3 linked regions of the Notamacropus eugenii genome follow. The protein of the gene in region 2 binds, or shares a complex with, the protein of the main gene of each other region. Links are inferred from orthologs where the notes say so. Each region holds a gene or a part of one and is shown on either strand. Other genes may lie near its edges.

Evidence for each region.
Region 1: RBM15B (region 2) and METTL14 share a complex: the UniProt entries of both Homo sapiens proteins name them as parts of the WMM complex. The link is inferred for Notamacropus eugenii from reciprocal best matches to the Homo sapiens genes RBM15B and METTL14.
Region 3: RBM15B (region 2) and CBLL1 share a complex: the UniProt entries of both Homo sapiens proteins name them as parts of the WMM complex. The link is inferred for Notamacropus eugenii from reciprocal best matches to the Homo sapiens genes RBM15B and CBLL1.

Annotation. Positions count from the first base shown.
Region 1 is NC_092878.1:165,436,007-165,443,693, forward strand, and holds the start of METTL14 (N(6)-adenosine-methyltransferase non-catalytic subunit METTL14), read right to left. Parts: upstream 3,007-7,687; 5' UTR 2,823-3,006; coding exon 2,757-2,822; intron 2,384-2,756; exon of another isoform or gene 417-2,383; intron 1-416. UniProt on the Homo sapiens protein: The METTL3-METTL14 heterodimer forms a N6-methyltransferase complex that methylates adenosine residues at the N(6) position of some mRNAs and regulates the circadian clock, differentiation of embryonic stem cells and cortical neurogenesis.
Region 2 is NC_092872.1:3,418,323-3,425,558, forward strand, and holds the start of RBM15B (putative RNA-binding protein 15B), read right to left. Parts: upstream 2,920-7,236; 5' UTR 2,885-2,919; coding exon of another isoform or gene 2,876-2,884; coding exon 80-2,875; 3' UTR 1-79. Other genes in the region: uncharacterized protein, read left to right, coding at 2,874-2,884, 2,920-3,447, 3,834-4,086. UniProt on the Homo sapiens protein: RNA-binding protein that acts as a key regulator of N6-methyladenosine (m6A) methylation of RNAs, thereby regulating different processes, such as alternative splicing of mRNAs and X chromosome inactivation mediated by Xist RNA.
Region 3 is NC_092874.1:147,685,524-147,693,467, forward strand, and holds the start of CBLL1 (E3 ubiquitin-protein ligase Hakai), read right to left. Parts: upstream 3,007-7,944; 5' UTR 2,931-3,006; coding exon 2,918-2,930; intron 1-2,917. UniProt on the Homo sapiens protein: E3 ubiquitin-protein ligase that mediates ubiquitination of several tyrosine-phosphorylated Src substrates, including CDH1, CTTN and DOK1. Targets CDH1 for endocytosis and degradation.

The sequences.
Region 1 (7,687 bases), on a different chromosome or scaffold from region 2:
CAAGCTACCCCATCTCAGGTCTGCTGCCTCTTTTCTGGGGAAGGCAGAGGCTGAACCAGATGCCCCTGAGGTCCCTCCAGCCCTAAGCCCCCAGTTTCCTCTCCTTGGGCATCCCCCAGTCAGTCATTTTCTAGAGTAAACATGGTCCTGTGCCAGAGACCTATTGAAGCCAGGGACCGAGACCCAACAGAATGTCAGGCTGGACTCTGAACCAGGGCAGATTCAGCACCTAATGAAGGACGATCAACGGGATTCCAAGGCTCTTTCTGTAAAGAATGGCATGTTCGATGGCAAACAGCTTTATGCAGTCAATCCTAGTGAAAAGGTGTCCCATGTAAATGTGGTTAGTTCAGAGGAGTGAAAGCAAGGTACAAGGGTGCTGCAGTGTAGACGTCATCCATGAGCTGATTACAAACCTGGCCTACCAGCTGATGGGCTTCTGAGGCCGAGCTGCAGATCCCAGCAGCAGATTTCAAAGCTGGGCAGATGTGCAGACATCATCAAACTCAACTCACTCATTTAAGAGATGAGAACACTGGAGCCCAGAGAAGGGGAGGGACCTGGCCAAGGTCATACAGGCTGAGGAGAAGAGAAAGGAGCCCTGGGTCTCCCATCCCTCATCACTATACGTTCTAACAGCACGCAGCTGAGGACTCTGGTCAGTGGTCACCAGGATCATGGATAGTGACTAATTAAACTTCTCTTTAACCAGTGCCAGAGAATGATCAGATAAGTCAGCATCTGCTATCGGTCCATTCAATAGGGTCTGCTATGTGCCTGGCACTGTGCGAAGGGCTGGGAAGACAAAGAAAGGCAAAAACCAGCCCTGGGTGTGCTCCAACGGAGATGATGGGTAAATGTCACTGGGGAAGCCGTTAGCAGCTGAGGGCATCAGGAAAAGCTTCCTGCAGAAGGTACTCGGCCTGGAGCGAAGCTGGGAAAGAAGGCAGCAGAGACCAGGAGGCAGAGCCCAGCAGCCTGGGGGACGCTGGCCCAAAGATGCGGAGCAGAAGCCGCCAGAGGGTGTGCTCGAGGCCAACGCCCAGGGATGGCAGAGGTGCAGGAGGGCAGTAAGGTGCAGTCAGACTGGGAAGGCAGGAAGGGACAGGGGCACAAAGAATCTAAAGCTCGGAGCTCGCTGAGCAGTGACCAGGTCTGACCACTCTAGAAAAAGCCCACTGGCAGATGAGAGGAAGCTGGCTCTTGCCTCACGCCTGGCAAGAGGCAGCCAAGCCTGGAGCCATGAGGGGAGAAGAGCTGTCCGCAAGCCAGGGTAGACAGCGGGCTGGGCCAGGAGCGGGCACCCAGCCTTGGGCGGGGGTAGCCCGACTGCTCAGGGGTGACAGCCCCCTCAGAGGGGGAGCGGACACTAAGTCAGCACACTACGTGCCAGGCTGGACTCTGAACCAGGGCACATTCAGGAGGGTGCTGAGTGCTGGGGACACTGACCAAAAGCAAAGGCCGGCCTCGGCTCTCGAGGAGGCAGACGACACCCCCCAAGGGGGGAAGCTGAAGCCCGGGTGAGCACAGCGGGGGGCCAAGAGGCACCAGAACGTGCAGAGGCCGTGAGAGCTGAGGACAGTCAGAGGAGAGCACCCGCAGGGCCAGGGCAGAGTCCTGAGGGCCCGGATGGCAGGGCCAAGCCAGGGCAGGAGCGGGGCAGCCAGGAGGCGGTGCCCAAGGCCCAGCGGGGAGGGGAGGGGCGGGGGAAGAGAGCGGGGGCACGGCCGCCCGGGGGGCTTCTTCAGGGGCACATGCCAGGGCCAGCGGGCAGGGCAGGATCTCCACCGCCCCCGAGACCGGGGGAGAGCCCACGGCAGGAGGAAGGGCTCCCACCCGTGGCCCCACCTGGGGCCAGGCTTTCCGTCCGGGGTCCCGGGAGGGAGCGGAGGGGCGAGCACAGCGGGGGGCCCTGGGGGGCAGGGAATCCGGGGCCTGCAAAGAACCCTAAAAACGAAAAGCTCAACAAATGGCCCTAACAGAGTCCGCGCTGGGGGGAGGGGCCCGAGACCCGGCTCCTTCGGGTGGCCGAGGCTCCGTGCTGAGCCCGGCGGGGTGCCGCCGGCCGGGGGACGGGAGACCCGAGCTCGAACCCGCCCCGGACCCCGGCGGGCCGGCAGGGCCTGGGCGAGCCTCCTCCCCGCCCCCGCCCTCCCTGGCGCGCGGGGGGCTCGGCGCCGGCACCCCCACTTCCCAGCCCGAGGCGGGGCCCGCCCTTCCCAGCAGGCCGCTGTCTCTGCGACCCGAGGCCCGCACTTCCACCAGGGCTAACTCGCCCCTCACTGACAGGGGCGTAAACTGAGGCTAGATCACCAGGGCTTCCTGGAGGCAGGGGCGGCCAGCAGGGCCCGAGGGGACAACGCCGGACCTCGGCCACCGGAGCAGGGCGGCCAACAGGAACAGGAGGGGACCGAGGGGCGGGGCCCGGGAGAGCGGGGCGGGCGCGCGCGGCGAGAGAGGGAGCGGGCATGCGCAGAGGAGCCTAGGACAGGGGGCGGGCCTGAGCGGGGCGGGCGCGCGCGGCGAGAGAGGGAGCGGGCATGCGCAGAGCGGCCGAGGACAGGGGGCGGGCCTGAGCGGGGCGGGCATGCGCAGAGCGAGCATGCGCGCCGGGGAGAGGAGGGGGGCCTGAGGGACGGGCATGCGCGGCGAGACAGGAGGCGGACATGGGCGGGACGGGCATGCGCAGAGCGAGCATGCGCGGGGCGGCCGCGTGTACGGGCAGCACAGCCCCGAGCCCCCGCCCCGGAGCTCACCTGCTGGGCTAGGAGTTGCCGGCGCAGCTTCTGCCGCTCCCGGATCTCCTGGAGGCGGCTGTCCATGTCCCGGCCGCCGCTATTCTCACAGGGCAGGAGGGCGAGGGCCTCCCTCGGCGACAGGCGGTTCCCCGAGGCTGAGCCTTTCCCGGCCCGCGTCCCCTCCGAGGACCGGCCCCAACGACCCGCTCGACTCCACGCTCCCCGGCTCGTCGCTTCCGGTCCAGGAAGTCCCGCCTCCTCCCCACGACCTCGCCGGCGCTGGGGCGTGCGCGGTGGCGTGACGTCACTGGTCAGGAGGCGTGGCCGGAGCGCGGATCTCCCCCGCCCCTCCCTCTCCGCGTGCCCGCTTCGCTCGGGGGCGCGCCCCGCGGGGCTGCGCTGCCTGGGCCCGCCGCAGGCTCGGACCCGTGCCCTCGGTCCTGGGGCTCAGCGCCGGTCATTCCAGGGTCCCGCGTGCCGTCCGAGCTGCCAGGCCTTTACCTGCAGCCCCGTCCTCTCCGCTGAGGCCCGGTGCGGGCACTCGCCGGCCGCCTGACCCGGAGCGGGTCCGTCCATCCCTCCGGGCCTCAGTTTCCCCTCCGGATCCGCTTTCTGTGTCTGCCGGGAGCACCCGCCCCTGACGGACGCCCAGCCCGGAGCCTCGGAGCCCCTTTCCGGGTCCCCCCGGTTATCACTGCGTCGGGCCGGCCCCCCTCCCCCACGGTGCCCCTTGCACCCCAGGCGCCGTGCTAAGCGGGGAACACGACAGCGCCCCAAAATGAGAAACGCCCGCTGCCGGCTCGGTGCTACACGCGGGGCAGACGCCGCGTGTGCAGTTTGGGCAGACCTTGAGGTCAGAGATCGTCTCAGAGGGAACCTGAAGAATGCCTGGGCGGTCCGGAGGCAGCCTGGGCAGGACTGTGGGCGGCCAGTCTGCTGACCATCGAAGACCGCGGACTTAGAGTGCGCAGGGCCGCGGGACCCAGCCTCATTTTACAGAGGAGGAACAGCCTTGAGGAGCGGAGGTCACTTGTCCTTGTCCGTAATGCTGGTTCAGTGGATGCCGACTTAACCGAATTTAAGTGAAGGAAAGACCCGTGTGTCTACACTGCCTGCAAGGTCTCGCCTCGCACCCGGCAGCTCGGACTCTGCCTCCGCCTCTCCTCGCACGTGCTCTTCCTTCTGGATGTCTTCTTGTGGGGGCACCGTCCTGTGCCTAGCTCCGAGCGGCTCTTAATTCCCCAGACACGCAGACTCCAGGTGGCATTTCGGAGGCTTGCTCCGTGCCCCATCTTCCCCCCTTGTCCCCCATTCAGGGCATGGACGCTCCTCTCCCTTCTTGGAATCTGCACAGCGCGTCTACACAGCAGTAACAACGGCAAGAGGAAGCCCGAGAATCAAGGCACACTCCAGATGTGTATTAATTACAGCACTCTTTAAAGAGAAGAGTGATTGGATGGGCGTGTATTACCCATGGTTGGACGGGGCCAATATAATAAACATGACTATACCGTTCTAATCAGTCTAGAGGTTGGGGGCTATAACAGACTGATCAGCGAACACTTCATAGAGGTAAATAAAATCGTATTTATTTAGAAGGACAATAGGCTTGAAAGGTCAAGGGGATACTGACAAAGAAAAAAGTAGGAATGGAGAATTTAAGATTTCATATTCTACCAGAGCAATGACCATCAAAGCAATTTGATGCTAATGAAGAAATAGAGAAGTCAACCCGTGGAACAGGCTCCATAAGGAAGAATCAGACACAACTGAAGTCAATAGCCTAGTGTTTGATACAACCAAAGGCATGAGTTACTTGTGGGGAGGATTTCGTTTTTGGCAAGAAATACTAGGAAAACCGAAAAGCAATTTAACCTCCCCCAAAATGGTCTAACTCGGGTACACTGTATAGCATAATAAACTCAACATGGCTACATGACCTGAAGATTCAAGGTCATACCATAAAAAAAAAATGAAAAAAGAACAAGATTAGGAAGCTTTCACAGCTACAGCAAGCAAGAGAATTCTTAACCAGAAATCACACGTACAAAGATCATTTTCATTATATTAGGTTGAAAAACCTTTGCATTGACCAAATCTGTTCAACTGAGAAAATAGGACACTAGAAAAATGTTTGCATCAAATACCTCTGATAAGGGTTTGATTTCCAAGGTCTCCAGGAGCTAACGCAGTCTGGAAATAATGCTCTGGGAGAGCTAGTTTCCAATTAGGATAGCCAAGCACCATGTTAGGGTAAGAAAGACTATTCTGGCAACAGTATTAAATGTGGAAGGGGTTGGGAGAGGACCCAAATTTCAGTTAGTGTACAAAGGAAAAACAAAGAAAGAGGGTACCTGAGCAGGGACTGAGGGCAGCAAGAGAATGTGGAGAAGGGACTATTTTAGGGTGTCAGTAAATCAAGGTGGAGAGTGGTAGATGATAGAAACTAAGCCAGAAGCTCTAGCTGAGATTGAAGTCTGGCAGCTTCCCTTTTTTAAAAAATTTATTTATTTATTTTTAGTTTTCAACATTCATTTCCACAAGATTTTGAGTTCCAAATTTTCTCCCTATCTCTCCTCTCACTCCACTCCAAAACACCATGAATTCTGATTACCCCTTTCCCCAACCTGCGCTCCCTTCTATCACACTCCTCCCTTGCCTTATCCCCATCTTCTCTCTTTTCTTGTAGGGCAAGATAGATTTCTGTATCCCATTATCTGTATTTCTTACTTTCCAGTTGCATGCAAAAACAATTCTCAACATTTGTTCCTAAAACTTTGAGTTCCAACTTCTCTCCCTTCCTCCCTCCTATCCCCACTGAGAAGGCAAGCAGGTCAAGATAGGCCATACATGTATAGTCCTGAACTTCCATAATAGTCATGTTGTGAAAGACTAACTATTTCCCTCTGGCTTATCCTGTCCCCCACTTATTCTGTTCTCTCTTTTGACCTTGTCCCTCCCCTAAAGTGCTTACTTCTAATTATTTCCTCCTCCCATTTGCCCTCCCTTCTATCATCCCTCCCATCCCACTTATCCCGTTCTCCCCTACTTTCCTGTAGCGTAAGATAGATTTTTCATACCAAATTGAATGTGTATGTTGTTCCCTCCTTAAGCCAAATGTGATGAGAGTAAGTTTCACTTTTTGCCTCTCATCTCCCCACTTTTCCCCTCTATAAAAAAAGCTTTTTCTTACCTTTTTTATGAGAGATAATTTACCTCATTCCATTTCTTCCTTTTTCCTCTCAATATATTCCTCTCTCACCCCTTAATTTTATTTTTTTAGATATCACCCCTTCCCATTCAACTCACCCTGTGCCCTCTGTCTATATGTGTGTGTGTGTGTGTGTGTGTGTGTGTGTACAATCCCTACAACTACCTAAATACTGAAGAAAGTTTTAAGAGTTACAAATATTATCTTTCCTTTTAGGAATGTAAACAGTTCAACTTTGGTAAGTCCCTTATGATTTCTCTTTCCTGTTTACCTTTTCATGTTTCTCTTCATTCTTGTGTTTGAAAGTCAGATTTTCTATTCAGCTCTGGTCTTTTCATCAAACATGCTTGAAAATCCTCTATTTCATTGAATGACTATTTTTTCCCCTGAAGCATTATACTCAGTTTTGCTGGGTAGGTGATTCTTGGTTTTAATCCTAGTTCCTTTGACTTCTGGAATATCACATTCCAAACCCTTCAGTCCCTGAAGGTAGAAGCTACTAGATCTTGTGTTATCCTGATTGTATTTCCACAGCACTCAAACTGTTTCTTTCTGGTTGCTTGCAATATTTTCTCCTTGACCTGGAAACTCTGGAATTTGGCTACAATATTCCTAGGAGTTTTCCTTTTTGGATTTCTTTTAGAAGATGACTCGTGGATTCTTTCAACATTTATCTTACCCTCTGGTTCTAGAATATCAGGGCAGTTTTCCCTGATAATTTCATGAAAGATGATGTCTAGGCTCTTTTTTTGATCATGGCTTTCAGGTAGTCCCATAATTTTTAAATTGTCTCTCCTGGATCTATTTTTCAGTCAGTAGTTTTTCCAATGAGATATTTCACATTGTCTTCTATTTTTTCATTTTCTTTGATTTTGTTTTATAATTTCTTAGCTTCTCATAAAGTCTTTAGCTTCCATTTGCTCCATTCTGATTTTTAAAGAACTATCTTCTTCAGTGAGCTTTTGAACCTCCTTTTCCATTTGGCTAATTCTGCTTTTTAAAACATTCTTCTCCTCATTGGCTTTTTGAACCTCTTTTGCCATCTGAGTTAGTCTATTTTTAAAGGTGTTATTTTCTTCAGCATTTTCCTGGGTCTCCTTAAGCAAACTGTTGACTCACTTTTCATGATTTTCTTGCATTTTTCTCATTTCTCTTCCCAATTTTTCCTCTGCCTCTCTTACTTGATTTCCAAAATCCTTTTTGAACTCTTCCATGGCCTGATAGAATCACCACGCAATTCTATCCATTGCATATTTATTTTGGAGGTTTTGGATGCAGAAACCTTAACTCTTATGTCTTCCTCTGATAGTATGCATTGTTCTTCCTCATCCAAAAGGATGGAAGAAAATACCTGTTCACCAAGAAAGTAACCTTCTATAATCTTATTTTTTTTTCCCTTTTCTGGGCATTTTCCCAGTCAGTTACTTGACTTCTGAGTGCTTGTCAAGTGGAGGGTATACTCTAGGGACCTGTAAATTCTCAGTTCCTCCAAGGTGGCACAATTAAAGGAGAGGAGTTTACTTCTCTCCTGGCCTGTGCTCTGGTCTGGGAGCAACCCCAAGCTTTTCTGCCCAGGATGTGTGAGTAGAATTCTCTGTCCAGAGCCTCCACCAGCTCTACCAGCCAGTGCTCATCCTCACCCCAGGACTGCCACTCAGGGCTGAGATCCAGATCAGTGGATTCCCCCAGGTTCTTTAGGCCAAGGGCTCCAAAAATGGATGTTGCTGCTGCTGCCACC
Region 2 (7,236 bases):
CCAAGAGCAGAATTGGCTTTAAAAATAACTGTTTTCATGACACAAAGAAAACACAAGACTGGGAAAAGCCAGGTTTTGGCTAGGCAGTGTCTCTTACTATAACTATCACCATATGCTCCTCTTCTAACTTCCCCAATGTCCTCAGAGCAGACTGGAGGTACTGCTGGGAGAATTCACAGGGAGGGAAGGCATAGAGCATGCCAGTGTTGTCTCTGCCCTTGGTCCCTCCCACTGGCAAGCTGATCACCCCAGCAGCCTGCTTCTGTTTCAAGTATGAGACCAGATTCCTGAGAAGCCTCCGCTGCAAACCCGGCTCCACAGTGTGGGTCCCCTCTGCTCCAGGCCCTCCTGGAGAAGCCTGAGTGGCCAGAAGCACCACATAACCATTGGGGCTTCCCTGCTTGATTCTCCGAGTGACCTCATCCAGTTTGGGCTGGTCAAGTCGAAGTCTTTGGGCAATCTTGAGCTGTGTCAGCTTGCTCCCTGAAGCATGGTCTTTGAGGAGGCCGCTGATTACTCCCAGGTCCCCCTCTAGAATGTGCATACAAGTGGGGAAGCAACTGTTTTTCAACACCAAAAGCCCGTTCCAGCCCAGCTGCAGGGTCTGAGCGTACTCAGACAGAGTCTTGAGCTTTTTGGTCTCGGGTTTTGGCTCTTCCATGGGCTTCGCTTCTACCTCGGTTCGATGATTGCGTTCGCTGTCTCTCTTTCTCACCTGGTGAGCGTCGGGGCCTCTCTCTTCGGCCCCGTGCCGGTTGTTGGGCAGGGAGTTGCTGGGCTCCTTCTCTGCCCCCGACTCACCCGTGTGATTTTCTCTCCGGAGCCTCTCGGGGCTTCGGTCTGAGGGCAGCCCGCTGACTTTGGTTCTGCCTCTCTCCTCATAAGGTGAGTGGGCAGTCCGTCCGTGGTCACTGGACAAGCTCCTCCTCTTTCGCCTTTCTTCCCAGGGCTTCGACAGGCCCCGGTCCCCATCGCTGCCCCATCTCTCCCCACTGCGGCTGCGCACAGAACGGCTGTAGCTTTCCAGGCTATTTCTGCGGTCGGTGCTTTTGGAGGGACTGGCCCAGTCGCCCTCCACAAAAGTCCTGTCCCGGTCTGAGTAGAGAAGGTGAGGGGGAGTCCTATCTCGGACCCTCAGGTCGGCCTCCAAATTTCGGTGCCTGGTGTAGCCCTCAGGGAGCAATTCATAGTGCACCGGGAGCGGCGTCGCCTGGCACTGTTGGGGGTATCTGGTCTCCTCAGCTTTGGCAAAATCCACCCTGAGCCTCCTCTCCGGCCCCCCCAAGGGAAAGCCCCTCATTTGGACGCAGGCAGCCTGGGCCGCATCCAGGCTCTCATACTGGATGTAGGCAAAGCTGTCTCCTTTGACGTGGTCAATAGTCCGAATGCTTCCGAAGCGGTCAAACTCCCGGGCCAGGGCGGCCAGAGAGGTGTTGGGCCCCAGGCCTCCGACCCACAGGCGGGTGGTGGGGTTGGCCTTGCCGTAGCCGATCTTGATAGGGTTGCGGCCCACCACCCGCCCCGACATGGCCACCTTGGCCCGGTGGGCCATGTCCAGGTTCTGGAACTTGAGGAAGGCGTAGGCCCCGCCCTGGCCGCGGGCCGGCCTCTTGATCACCACCTCCTCGATGATGCCGTACTTCTCGAAGGCCCGGCGCAGCTCCACCTCGGACACGCCGTGGTCCAGGTTGCCGATGAACAGGTTGCGGGTGGCCCGCTGGTCGTCCTCGGGCATCAGGTCCTCCTCACACACGGCCGGGTAGCCGTAGGGCCGGCCCCGGTCGTCGTACAGCCCGTAGTAGTCCAGGGCCCGGTCCCGGGACAGGCCCACGGCGGCGGCGGCCGCGGCGGCGTCCAGGGCGAAGGCGGCGGCGGCTGCCGCGTGCCGGGCCCGGGGCTCCCGCAGCGGGGGCGCGCCCACGGGGGACAGCGAGCGCTGCTTGTACTGGTAGCCCCCGTGCAGGGGCAGGTAGCCCAGCGGGTCGGCGGGCGCGGGCGGCCCGGGCGGCGGCGTGCCGGCGGCCCCCGCGCTGCTGCTGCTGCGCCGGCTGCTCCCGCCGCCGCCGCCTCGCAGGTACACGGGCTCCACCTTGAGCGGCCGGTCGTAGAGCAGCAGCTGGCGGGCGCGGGCGTGGTGCCGGGCATCGCGGGCGTCCTGCGGGTGCCGGAAGTTCACGTAGGCCACGCGGCCCAGCTCGGGCGTGTGCGACAGGCGCAGGCTGATCTCGCCGAAGCGCTTGAACTGGTGGAACAGGCGGTCCTCCAGGTGCTCGGCCGGCAGCGCGGGGCTCAGGCTGCTGATGAGCAGCGTCTTGTACTCGGGCGGCGGCGGCGGCGGTGGCGGGGCGGGCGCGGGCGGCGGCGGGGCGGGCGCCGGCGCGGGGGGCTCGGGCAGCGGCGGCAGCAGCAGCAGCGGGGACGCCCCCGGGGACGAGGCGGACGCCGAGCCGGGCTCGGCCTTGGCGCGGCCGCCGCCGCCCCCCGAGCGGCCTCCGCCGCCCGCGCGGTGGTTGGAGTCTCCGGAGCCTCGGCCCTCGCGGTGGCCGCCGCCGGAGCCGGAGCCGCCGCCGCGGGGCTTGTCGCGGGCGCGGGCCGGGGCCTGGTGCTTGGCGGGCCCCGAGGCGGAGGCGGAGCCGGAGCTGGAGCTCTTGTGCGCGGCCCGCCGACCCCCGCCGCCGCTGCCGCAGTCGGGCTCCCCGCGCTCCCGCTCGCGCTCGCCGCGCTCCCGCTCCCCGCGCTCGCCCCGCTCCCGCTCCCGCTCCCCGCGCTCCCGATCCCGATCCCGTTCCCGCTCCCGGGGCCGCTTCGCCGACGATGACGACGACGACGCCCCGCGGGCCCCCGGGCTCGAGTCGCGCTCGCTCTGCCGCTTCATGGCGCCGAGGCCGGCCGGGCCTGGCCGGGCCCCCTCCCTCACAGCGCGACGGGGCAGCGGCGCGGGGGCAGCGGCGGCGGGGCCGGGGCCGGAGCAGGAGCAGGAGGAGGAGGCAGCGCCCCCCGGGCCGCCATCTTGGACAAAAGGACTGAGCGCGGCGGCCGCGAAAAGGCGGGGGAGGAAGGGGAGGGGACGGGACGGGGACAGCGCGGCTACGTCATCAAGGCGCGCGGCTCGGCGGCCGGCGCGGGGGGCAGCCTGGCGCACGTCCGACGGGACGGCCCCCCGCCCTTACGTCACTTCCCCCGCCCTCCCGGGCTCGGACGCCGTCGCATTGGACTGGAGCGCGGGCTTTGGCGCCACCTGCCGGCCGAGGGTGAACCCAGCGGCCCGGCGCGGCTTGGGCGCCGGCGGTCACCTCGGCCGCGAGTGAGCCCCGCCGGTGCTGAGGGCGGCCAGGCGCGTCACCAGCGTGGTCGGACGGGTCGTGGTCGGGCCGTGTGGCGGCCCGTGGGGTTCTCTTGGCAGAGGTACCAGCTCATTGTACAGATGAGGAAGCGGAGGCAGACAGGGTGAGGGGACGTGCCGGGGTCCTACAGTCGGAGTCTTCCCGACCCCGTCTCCGCTGCCTCGGTCTTACACCGTGATCTTTGGGGGTCCGGACGGCCGGAGGGGGGAGGGGAGGGGCCCCCCGATCCGCGGCCCGGCCGGGGCACCGGGGGTGCCCGGAGGCGGAGGGGCTGGCCACGCCGCGGGGTCGGACCGCGGCTGTCCCTTGGGGGAGGGGGCGAGGTGCGGGGGAGGCCCCGGGCCCGTGGTCCCGCCCGCACGCTGCGGCCCCGCTCTCACGGCCGGAGCCGGGCCGGGGCGGTCCGACGGGCGCGGGCGCTGAAGCCTGTCCCGCACGCAGCAGGCGCGTTTCCACCCACTTCCTTCAACTTTTTTTTGTTGCCTGTAGGCATCCTAGGGGCAGCCGGGTGGTGCGGTGGGCAGAGCACCACAGCAGGGGGCAGGAGGACCCGAGGCCAGAGCTCACCTCAGACACGACGCTCACTAGCTGTGAGCCCATGGGCAAGTCACTTACCCCAACTGCCTCCGCCTGGGTCACCTCCAGCCATCCTGATGAGTATCTGGTCCCTGGACCCAGGTGGCTCTGGGGGAGAAGTGAGGTTGGTGACCCGCACAGCCCTCCCTCACTCAACACAAGGTGAAGTGCCAGTCCCGTCATCCCTTCTCTGCTGGCACCGTAGAGGTCCTGAGATCATGAATGGGTTCGTGCTTTGAGGAACGTTGGAGTGCCAGGCCAGAGGGAGAGTGCTCAGTCTAAGCTCATCCCTCACATCTCTCTAGTCTATAAAAAGCCTGAACCTAAGAGGTCACGGAAGTCATCCTTACATGTTATAAACGTTAATGGAATCCACCGAGGTCACACAGCTTGGCACAACTTGCGCTCTGAGCCAGTACTGCCAACGTGGCGTATGGTGATTAATTCCTAAATTTATTTTGAGTGGGAGGGTGGCCTCGGAGGGGCAGAGGCAAATGTGTTGAAATATAAATGTTGGGTTACGCTGAGGATGGCTCAAGGACAGGATAGGAGCTGACGGAGGATTTCTAACAGCTACGGGTGCTTGCAGGCATGAGCTCCACCCCTGCCCATCCGCTGGGCTACCTGAGGAGACAGTTTCCTGAGAACTGATGGAGACTCTAGTGGTAAGGTTTTTCACCCTTTTAGATGAGTTATTAAGAGCGATAACAAGAGGCAGCATGAAGACCCAGAACAGCCTCCCACCCCTCTGGCCCTCCCCCCCCCACGATGAGGGGCTTGACTTCGATCTCCAGAACATCTTACAGCACCAGAATTCTGCCAGTTCACTTTCTCCTCTGCATGCTTAGGTCAGAGGGCAAACTTCAGGTTCAGACCCTGCCTTAGAATCGTACAAATGCGTGGCTCTTCAACATGAATACTTTAATCTTATGCCAGGATCCTTAGGTAACAATATTTGTTGTTCAGTTGCTCCCATCATGTCCAGCTCTTCATGACACTTTGGCCATTTCCTTCAGTTTTACAGATGAGGAAACGGAGGTAAACAGACTCAAGTGACTTACCCAACGTTACACAGCTAGTAGGTGTCTCAGTCTGAATTCAGTCTTCCTGACTCCAGGCCAGGGGCTCTATCCACTGCACCACAAGGCTACAAACCTGTCATTTGTCTCATTTGTACATAGGTTATACCAAGATTCCTTTGAAAGGGACACTTTTTGTGCACTTTATTAAAAAGTTGTCTATATGCTATAGTAGGAAAGGTATATTGCAAAAGGTAAGTTGCAGAGATGGTCTTTGTAACTTTGTCATCACTTCCCGTCCCTTGCAGCACCTGCATATACAGTAGGAAGTGTTACCAAAGCTAGTAATAGCCCAGAGATGTCTTTTAATGGCTCGATTCAAGCCAGTTAGAAGCTAGTACTCAAGGCGGAACAACCAATTTGTCTCCAAAGCCTTTCTCAACCTAAGCTCCCAATCACTGGGAGAACATGGAATGGAAAGCAAAGATGATTCACTTTGTCACAAGGGTCACAAACTTCCCCTAGGAAACGAGTCACTCTTTGAAGCAGTAGAAATAGGAACAAATATCAGTAACGTAAAGAAGAAAAAACACTTCCCTTCCAGGCTTTTTGTTAACAGCATCAGTAATGGAGTTTTCTCTCTTAGTGGCTGCACTGTCTGGGGTTGACCCTGGGAGCCCCTCATTTTATCCAGAGGGACATTCACTGGAAGGTGTGGAAATCTTGGCATCGTCTCCTTCAGGAGAGAAAATGAAGCGGACAGCATGGAAGACAGCATGGACTAACCCACTTACACACTGGCCATGAACCAGTTTGGCTGACACGACCAAGGAAGAATTCATGGAAAAGATTCAGGGCTACAAATCATCTAGAAAGAAAACCCCAACTGTAATATCCATATCCAACTTTGTGGAGGTTTTCAAAGCAGCAAACTGGAGAGGACATGACTACATCCCACCATCTTCTTACCTGTGAGTGAGCAAGAGGGGCTGGGGGCCTGCAGTTGGAAGCAGGGGAACATGGGTTTATAATGGGGGTTTCTCAGTATGTCAAAGAGAAGGGGGGGCATTGATTCTGAAGACTCCTGCTTGTACATGGCCAAGAAAAGAATCTAAGTACAAGGCAGAATTATCTGTTGCCAACAATGCTGGCTTAGCTACTTAAATTTCCTTCAAGTGCTGAGAGAACCCTCCAAGATGTTGTGTCTACTGTGGGACCCATCGTTGTGGCCATCAATGCTGTACCTGATGGCTTCTGACTTCTACAGCTCAGGGCCTTACTAAATGACTCCTACTGCTATGGGTCACCAGTCCTGATGATGGGATATAGCTTTGAAGATGAGGTCGAGTCCAACAAACCTTGGGTTTTCAAGAATTGGGGGGATACATGGCTGGACACCCCAACTGTGTATTCTGCTTAGGCCATCAATCCTCTAATGTGAGCTGTCACTGTCAGAAGAGGAGTCAGTGACACATGTTTTAGAACCTGGCTTATGCAAGTCCTAAAACTCCTATGGGACTCTTTAAATCTCACTTTTTTTGTGCTATATTATTATCAGAGAAGAAGGGGATCATTTCCAATACTGCCTCATATTGGACTCACAAGGCAAAAAAAAATTCCCAGGTCAGATTTTTAGTCTCTAATGCTCCCATGGAGTATGTGGCTTTACATACAGAGTGAAAGGGCAAAATGATTCTGGACATCAAGAAACTTGCAGGCAGGGAAAGAATTCACCCTGCAGATCAGAGTATGCTCGTTGTCTGCTTCCTGGCTCTCAGCAAATTTGATCATGGCAAATTAGTGGTTAAGTTCAATGGCCAAGCACAGATCTCTGGGGTCACTCCACTAAAGATTTCCTCCCAAGTTTACATAAAAATATTAGTAATTCCAACTGCAGTATCATCTAGCACATATTTCTGTTTTGTCCATAAGAATCACTTGAAAGATTTTTGGCCAAAGTTTTGTTGAAATCTTTTTGTTATATATTACCCTATATTTACCCCAATTAACCAGTCTGGTAAACTCCCATCAAAAAAAGAAAGGGGGCTAGTTTGGCATGACCTGTTATTGAGGAAACCATGTTGTTTCTTTGTGATCCCTACTTCCATTTCTGGATGTTCACCAAGCATTTAAAATTATTCTAATGGCAATATTTAGCAATTTGTTCTAGAATTTTTCCAGGGACTAAAGTCAAACTTACTGGCCTGTGGTCTGCAGACTACATTCTCTTTCATTTTTTGAAAACTAGGACACTGCCTTTCCCCAATACTGTTGTACTTGTCTAGCTTCCCCAGAAT
Region 3 (7,944 bases), on a different chromosome or scaffold from region 2:
CCAAAAAACATTAAGAGAAGTATAATGTTGCTATGAAGTCAACTAAGTCTTAGACCAAAACATGCTTTCCAAGCCCCGTAAATCACATATTTACCCAGTTACCTGTAAAGCTCAGTACTGTAAAAAGAACAAAATGCCTCACTTCCAAAACACATGGATTGCAAAGAGAGATTATGCATTTCTAAATGCCTAACACAAATATTATTCCCCAGAAAAAACTGTTTAAGGCTGAGGCATGACTTCCCAATTACAGGAAAAGATGTTACTTTTTACTAACTAAGCCAAATTTCAGTTAATTAAAATGATTTTTTTCAGTTACTTTTGTTAAGCACTTCAGTAAGTTACTGTGCTGTCTGAAAATTTTTAGGACATCTAACTAGAATTGTTCAGAATGTATTTAGGTAAAGCCTGCTTGAAGGTATTAAGTTGGACTTGAACTTCGAGACCTATTTCTAGGTTTCTCATCATTAAAGACTCATGTTCAATCCTACAATTCATTCTTTTGATCAACAGGAATCTATGATTGTTTGTTGGGGGGAGATTCAAAACTGAACCTTAAACAATGCACTTCAAGAAGCATTTACTAAATGCCTGCTATACGCTAGGAACTATGAACACAAAAACAAAAACATAAATGAAAACTCCCTGCCTTTATGGAAAGGGAACAAGGGGTACAACATTAATCAATAACCAATCCACAGGTATTTATTAAAATGCTTTTTATTATACAGCATTTATAACATACATAGATAAGTAAATACAAAGTGATTTTGGGTAGGAGAAGGGAAGTATCAACAATTGGGAAGATCAGGAAATGTTTATGGTAAGAATTCCAAGAGGTAAAATGGCAACAAAATAATCCAAAATATTTTTCATTACCAGTTTCTTAGCATTATTTTATAACAACTATTTTGTAACAAGCCATGATTTTAATATAAGATGGGGACAAGAATAACAAGGGTGACAAGAATAACAAGGGTAAGAGAGAAAAATAGCATCAAACACATCAAAAGATCGCTAATGGCCCAAAGTTTCCTCCCATTTCACCGAACACCTTTCATTAAAAGTTCAACCAAATCAACTTATTTCACTTTCACTTTTCATTTTTGTTACTTTTCCTAGCGAAGGCATTTAAAAACTTCCAAAAGAGCAGCCAGGTAAAGAGAATTGTTGGCCAGTGACTTTTCAGTTTGGTTCTTTCCTGGCATAAAACCTCACCTCTAACTTTGCTAGAAAGTCAAAATTATGTTTTTCTAATAATAGTATGCATTACTGTTACCTCTCCCTACCTGAACTGAATACTGCCCATAGTTTTAGTTTTGTATGAAGCTGAAAAGCCTCTACTAGCAGGTCTTTGTACACTACACAACTGGGGTTACAGCTGCAGCTGGTAAAGCCTGTTCTTTACTCAACTGCCCTTCTGTGTCTTAAGTCGTTCTCATAAATACAACATTTACTAGACGATATATGTACCCATGTTTTCTAAAACTAGGGTTTTACAATATACAAATAGGGTACACTTCTCACTGTAAGTCAGTAAGTCAACAAGCATTTCTTCCATGCTTCCTACCTACCAGGCACATTTGGAGAAACCAACAAACTAACAACAAAATTAAGAACGGGGTCCCTGCCCTCAAGGAGCTCACATTCTACTGCACTACAAGCACCAAGTTTCCTTTGAAATAGCCCTACACGGAGCGCAGAACTTGCGATAAGAAAACAATCCGTGACTGTTCTTTCACTTTTCTCAGGGTCCATTTAAAAATACTAGGTTCACCTAAAACACACACAAGCCTCCAAATAAATATCTCACTTCCAACGTCGAATGCAAAAATTCTGCTACTCTCTGGGGGGTGGGGGTGGGGGGCACTTCTCTGTTACGAAGTCCAAGACTTCAGCTTTATCAGTACTTTAGCAGTCGAAGCAGACAGGTGGCTCAGTGGGTAGACAGATGGGCCAGGAGTAAGGAAGACCCGAGTTCAAATCCGGCCTCGGACACACCCTGGGGAGTCATTTCACCTGAAGCGGCAAACCACTCCCGAATCTGTGCCCGGAAAACCCCACGGGCAGTCCGGACGCGCTGGGTCCAGGGGGTCCCAGAGAAACGGACACGACTTCGTAGTAAGTGCACGGTATTTTACTTCACGGACTACAGACACCCTACTAGCACTGCTCACAAAGCGCCCCAGAAAACAAAAAGCCTGGCTCACCAAGGGGCCGCGGCTGGAGAGAGGAAGGGGTTGTTGGTTAGCGCAGAGTCCAAAATGAGGAAGCTCCCAACCGCACACAGCCCAAAAGCCGAGGTTCGGGGAAGACAGAAGGGTCTGGTCGGGACTTTACACAAAGACTGCGCTGAAGGGGAGCTCGAGATCATATCCGGCTCCTTCAGCCTAGCTACCACACGCACGGGCACCGACGACAACGAAGCTCTGGGCGGCTGCGAGGGAGGAGGAAGCCACGGGGACGTCTAGCCCCGTGGCTCTACTCCCACAAAGCCAGGGTTGGGCTCCCCAAGGTCCCCTCCCTTCCCCAAAGCCCTACACTGGCCGGGAAATAGCCCCGGCCGGCACAAGCCGCCAAACGCCGAAGACGGAAAGGAAGGAGGCCTCGGGGGGAACCCAGCGCCCCCCACGCAGCCCCGGGGTCCCACTCTGGACCGACACGGCGCCGAGGCTGCAGCGCGGAGCGGGGGAGGGGATGTAAAGAAGGGGTGTAGGCCGAGAGGTCTATCAGGCCCCAGCTGGGCACGGCCGGGAGGGAGGAAGGGAGGGAAGAGGAGTATGTAGAGATCCTCCCTCGCCACTGCAACCCATCCCCTCAGGACGAGCCCGGTTCCGCTACGCCAGCCGGGCGACGGCGGGTCTCGGGCCGGCCGAGGGGTCCATGTAAACGAGACCCCCCCCCTCCACCTCCTTACCAGTGTGGTCCATGATTCGGCTCGAGGTGCACTCTGGGAGCGGAAGTCAGCGTCGCCCCAGTCACCACGGGCGCGTGCGCGACGACCCGACCGAGCTCAGTCAGCGGAAATGAGATGAAGGTGGCTTTTGCCGGGGTTCAGGGACGAAGAAAGTTCGGAGCAGTTTGGAATGGGACGAGGGAAAAAAAGATAAGGAAAATGGGAGCGCAAGGAGACAGCTTCATGGCAGAAGGGGCCGCCGGAGCGATTCCCTAGGTACAAGAAGGAAGAGCCATCTTCACAGATCAAACCGCTTCTCCCTTTGGCGGGAGAGAGCGGATGGGGGATGGGCGGGGGCGGTATTTCCTGGTCGAAGTACTTCAACTTCCGACAGGCCCCGCGGCTCCTCCGACCTCGCGCAGCCTAGCCTCCTGGGACTTGTAGTTTGCCCTGGACAACACCCTCCCTCGGGCCTCCAGCCTTCTCTCCCACCCGCACTTCCCTCCAGCGACTGGTTGTTCTCGGTGCGCAGGCTCAACCGTTGGGGTTGCTGAGGTCTCCGCGTTCGTCCCTGCAGGCGGCGGAAAGCTCGAGCGGAGTCTGGGGAAAGGCGTGGTTGGACGGCCGCCAGCTCCGAGGGTCCCAGAGGCTGCGTGCGGAGATCGAGGCGGGGAGCTAGGACCGGTGCGCTTTTGTTCCGTGTTGTGTTTTTGACTTGGTTTGTGGGGCTCCCGAGGCATGCGCTGAAGACCCCGTGCCCGCCCCCCGTCGTTTAACTATATGAAAGTTTTAAAAAGAAGTTTATCCAGTTGTTCGTTTCTGGGGAAGGTGCTGGGACGCCTTCTGAGGTCCCAGAAGGAGTTGGCTTCAGCCTCGCCCCCTCCCCCAATACCCACGTCCCTATCCCTGTGCTTTAACCTGATGGTTCTCAAGTGCTTTACAATCTGCAGACATCCCGTAAGCATCCCGCAAAATAATCGTTTTGCACCTATTTTGACTCTTCTAACGATTCCCTCTATCTCTTGACTCTGGGCATTGTTGTCTCTGGCTGTCCTCCCCTCCCCCTCCCATGCCCATGCCTTCTGACCTTCCTGGCTTGCTTTAAGTTCCGTCCAAGATCCTACCTCCCCTAGGAAGGATGATGTGTTTTACTTACTGTGCAGTTAAGTTACAGTAATAGCAATAGCCAGAATTCTTGGCTTCTCTGGATTGTGTGGGGATTACCAATCTCAGTCAAAAGAGCTCTTTAGCAGTCTTAAAGCAGTGAACTAGGTCCCAGCCTCACAGACCTTATTTTTTCTAAGTTTCTTTATGGATATGTAATCAGAAGCTTAGTTGGAGGGAGGCACGTATAAACAAACAATACTCAGATATTTGTGTGTAGCATTATTTATTGTAGCTGGTTATAATCCCTGCATTTTATGATCTATTTTACTGCACAAATTTGTTAATTGTGAAAAATCAGTAATCAAAGTGCAAACCTGGAAGAGTATATGCACAATGATAACGGCTCAAATTCAACTTCTTCCAGGTATTTTTTTTCCTTAAACTTAAAATGGACATATACCTAAACATTTTAATGGTCGGTTTCTGCCTTTCCTAAAGATAATAGGAATGTGTTGTGGGATCAATCAATTAAAAAGAACCCTAAAGATTAGGGGTGGAGAACCTACAGCGGCGAGGCCACAGAGGCCCTCAAGGTCCTCAAGTACAGCCCTTTGACTGAATCCAAGAACAGTTTGGTTTCCCAATGCAGGTTCCCTGCCCCTGCTAAAGATGATCTCTGAGCCTCTTCATTTTACAAATGAGGAAACTCATTTATGTGATTATGTGGGATTATGTGATTTGTGGAAAGTTCACATAGGTAGAATTTGATCTCTCCTCTGACTCCAAAACTGGTGCTTTTTCCACTGAACCCAAGGAAGAGTACCACTTTATAGTTATTACTGGACTTTTGCACACTCCACTCTTCATCTGCTGCTGTGCCTGGTTTCAACTCCAGGGACCAAGGTGGCCCTGAACTGGGGAACCCCCTTGGTCTCTCTTCCCCTAACCCCCCCAATTGCCGAGTTGGATTGTGAACTCCTTGAGAGCAGGGATTTTTTTTTTTAATTATTGTATCGGGCTCTTTGTAAAGTCCCTGGCATGAATTAAGTGTTTAATAAATGTGGATTGGAATTGAATGGATTGAATGCCCATGAAAACTTTTTAGACTTGGTTCAGTGTTCTAGCCTGTCAAGATATTTTTAAATCATGACAATCCAGGATGCTAAGTATTGCCGGCTAGTTTTGTGTCATGTGTAAATTTAGTGATAGTACCAAATCTTTATCATTGTGGTATAGTGGAAAGAGTCCCTAGAATTAAATTGCCACTTAACATCTGTGTTCCTGATCAAGTTATTTAAACTCTTTAGGGAGGAGGGAGGGAGAGAATCTCGGTATTCCCAACTGTACAATGAAGGTGTTGAACTGGATTACTTCTAAGTTCCCTTCCAATTCTAAATCTTTGGTTCTATGTTAAACTTCACAGAACCAAGTAGATCCTGGATCCCAGAGAAGGCATTGATAAAAAAAAAATATATTAATCACCTGCTATTCTGTAGGCACATCAAATCTAGCTTTTAGGTCTAGCCATTCAGTCAACTCCAAATCTACCTGCACTGTTATCTAGTTCACATTTTTATGTTTTTTTTGTAGGAGTAGCATAAGAGGCTTCATCATATGCTTTGCAAGTTTGAGAATAGGAGACCAAATGATGAAGATATTTAATAAGCATTTCTGAGAATGGATCTCAGAGTATATAAAAATGCAGTGCACATTGAGATAACAGTGATGAAATAGGGAAGGGAAAGTTTGACGTCATCTTCTGTTCAGTAAATTCCAGTAGCTTCCTGTCACCCAGGATCAAATATAAAATCCTGTTTGTCATTCAGAGCTGTTCACCTGTCTTCCCTTATCTTTCTAGTATTCTTACCCTTTCCTCACTTCCACATACTTTGTTAGCCACTCCCACTGGCCTATCTGCTTGTTTTTTGAAAGAGCACTGAGTATTTTCACTGGCTTTCCCCTGTACCTACAATGCTCTCCTTCCTTGTCTCCAACCAACCACTTAGTGTACTCAGAGGGATTGCTTATGTCTTTGTCTTAAGGCATCTGCTTCAAGTCAGAGCCAAAATCCTACTTTCTACAAGGATCCTTTTCTGATCTCCCTTAAGAGCCTTCCTTCTGTTGATTATATCCAATTTATTCAATATAGAGCTTGTTTGTACATACTATGCCATCTCCTGCATTCTACTGCCAACTCCCTGAGAGCAGAGATTATCTTTTGCCTTCTTTGTATCCCCAGAACTTATTACAGTGACTGGTATATAGTTGGTTGGTTGGCTGTTGTCCTTCGTTTTCAAAGAGGACAAAAATGACATCACCATGATAAAAATGAAGTTTCAGTGTGTCTGACTGTGGCTGATCAGACCAATACTGTATTTTCATTCATGCGAAAATTGGATTTAAGTGAGGCAGAGTTGCACAAAGTTGTCAGCCTCACTCTATCCCTCAGTCATCATAGTTCAGTGGCAGGACAGAGTCAAGATGGCTGGCAATGACTTAGGATGCCATGGATGACCTTGGTGTCTTCAGTATCTAACCAAGCTCTAAGGGCTCCACATCACCTGCTTCAGCTGCCTTCATGGCCGTTGGAAGTCTTCACATGTAGGGTATGTTCAGGGAGGACTAGTACCCTTGGTGTGATGGCTGCTGAGCACTTTTGGGGACTCTTTCTACCTTTGGTGTTCACCTGTTCCACCCAGCTCTCACCTGTGGCTCCAAGAAGCTGCAGTATGCGCAGCGGCCACACCCTGGTAAACCATTTTGGCAGAACGGCCAAACTAGGTTGAGGATAACCAAGGATTTTCAAACCCATTGATGAGTTAGGGGGTTGTCTACCTCAAGCATGTGACTGGTATATAGTAGATGATTAAGAAATACTTATTGATTGTAGAGGGACCTGTCAAAAGGGAGACATTGTAGAAATACATAAATAGTATATAAAGGACTCTCACCGTATCAAAGCCTCAGTCTTCAAAAAGACAAGTGATTTCAAAATGGACATCTTTTCCTTATTTCAATAAGTTTAGTTCTGTGGGAAGTTCCTTTTGTCCTTTATGTTCTTTTTCCCTTGTTCTATCCCCTTTTCTCACAAAACTTCAGTCAACAGTACTACATAAAACGTAGCAATATAAAATATTGTTTGGAGAAGTTTATGATGATATCTTGCAAATGAACGTGTTCACAAAACTAAAGCAGTTTCTTCTGGGATGTAGAGGTAGAAAACAGTAATTTCTTGATTTAGTTATCTGGATTTTGTGTGAAAGACTCACAAATGTTCTTTATAAGTATTTGGTTGTTATTTTGGGATTTGGTTGGGGTTTTTTGGTTTGTTTTTTCTCTAGCAGTCAATGTTCCAGCTAATCTGGAGTGCTAGCTGTTTCTTCTTCAAACAGTATGTCTTGCCCTGTGCCTGGAATGCATACCTTTCCTCCCCTTGCCTGTTTGACTCCTTAGCTTCCTTCAAAGGTACCACCTCCTAGAGGAAGTCTTTGTTGTCCTGCCTGGCTGTTTAGGGCTGTCCTTCACTTCAAATGATCTTAGAGATGCCTGTTTTGTATGTGCTGTTTTCTCCCAGGAGACTGTATGTTACTTAACAGGCAAAGACTGTTTTTCATTTTTGTTTACATTCTGAGCATCCAGTACTTTCTATATAGTACTACAGAAGAAATCAATTTAAAAAGAAAAAACTCACTGACCAAGATCAAGGCACATTAAATAGTAGGTGCTTAGCAAAAAGCCTCCTAGCCCTCTTGGTAGCTTTTTAGACATAAAAAAAAAAAAAAAGATTTAAATCGTTTTGTTATTTTAGGGATTAATTGTTGACATCTTAATTTGATTGTTTAATTAATTGATTCATTATTGTCACTGGTAGAATTTGGGGCCACACCTAATGTGGAAAAGAATCCAGAAAATATTAAAAGGTCTCTTTTAATATTATATAA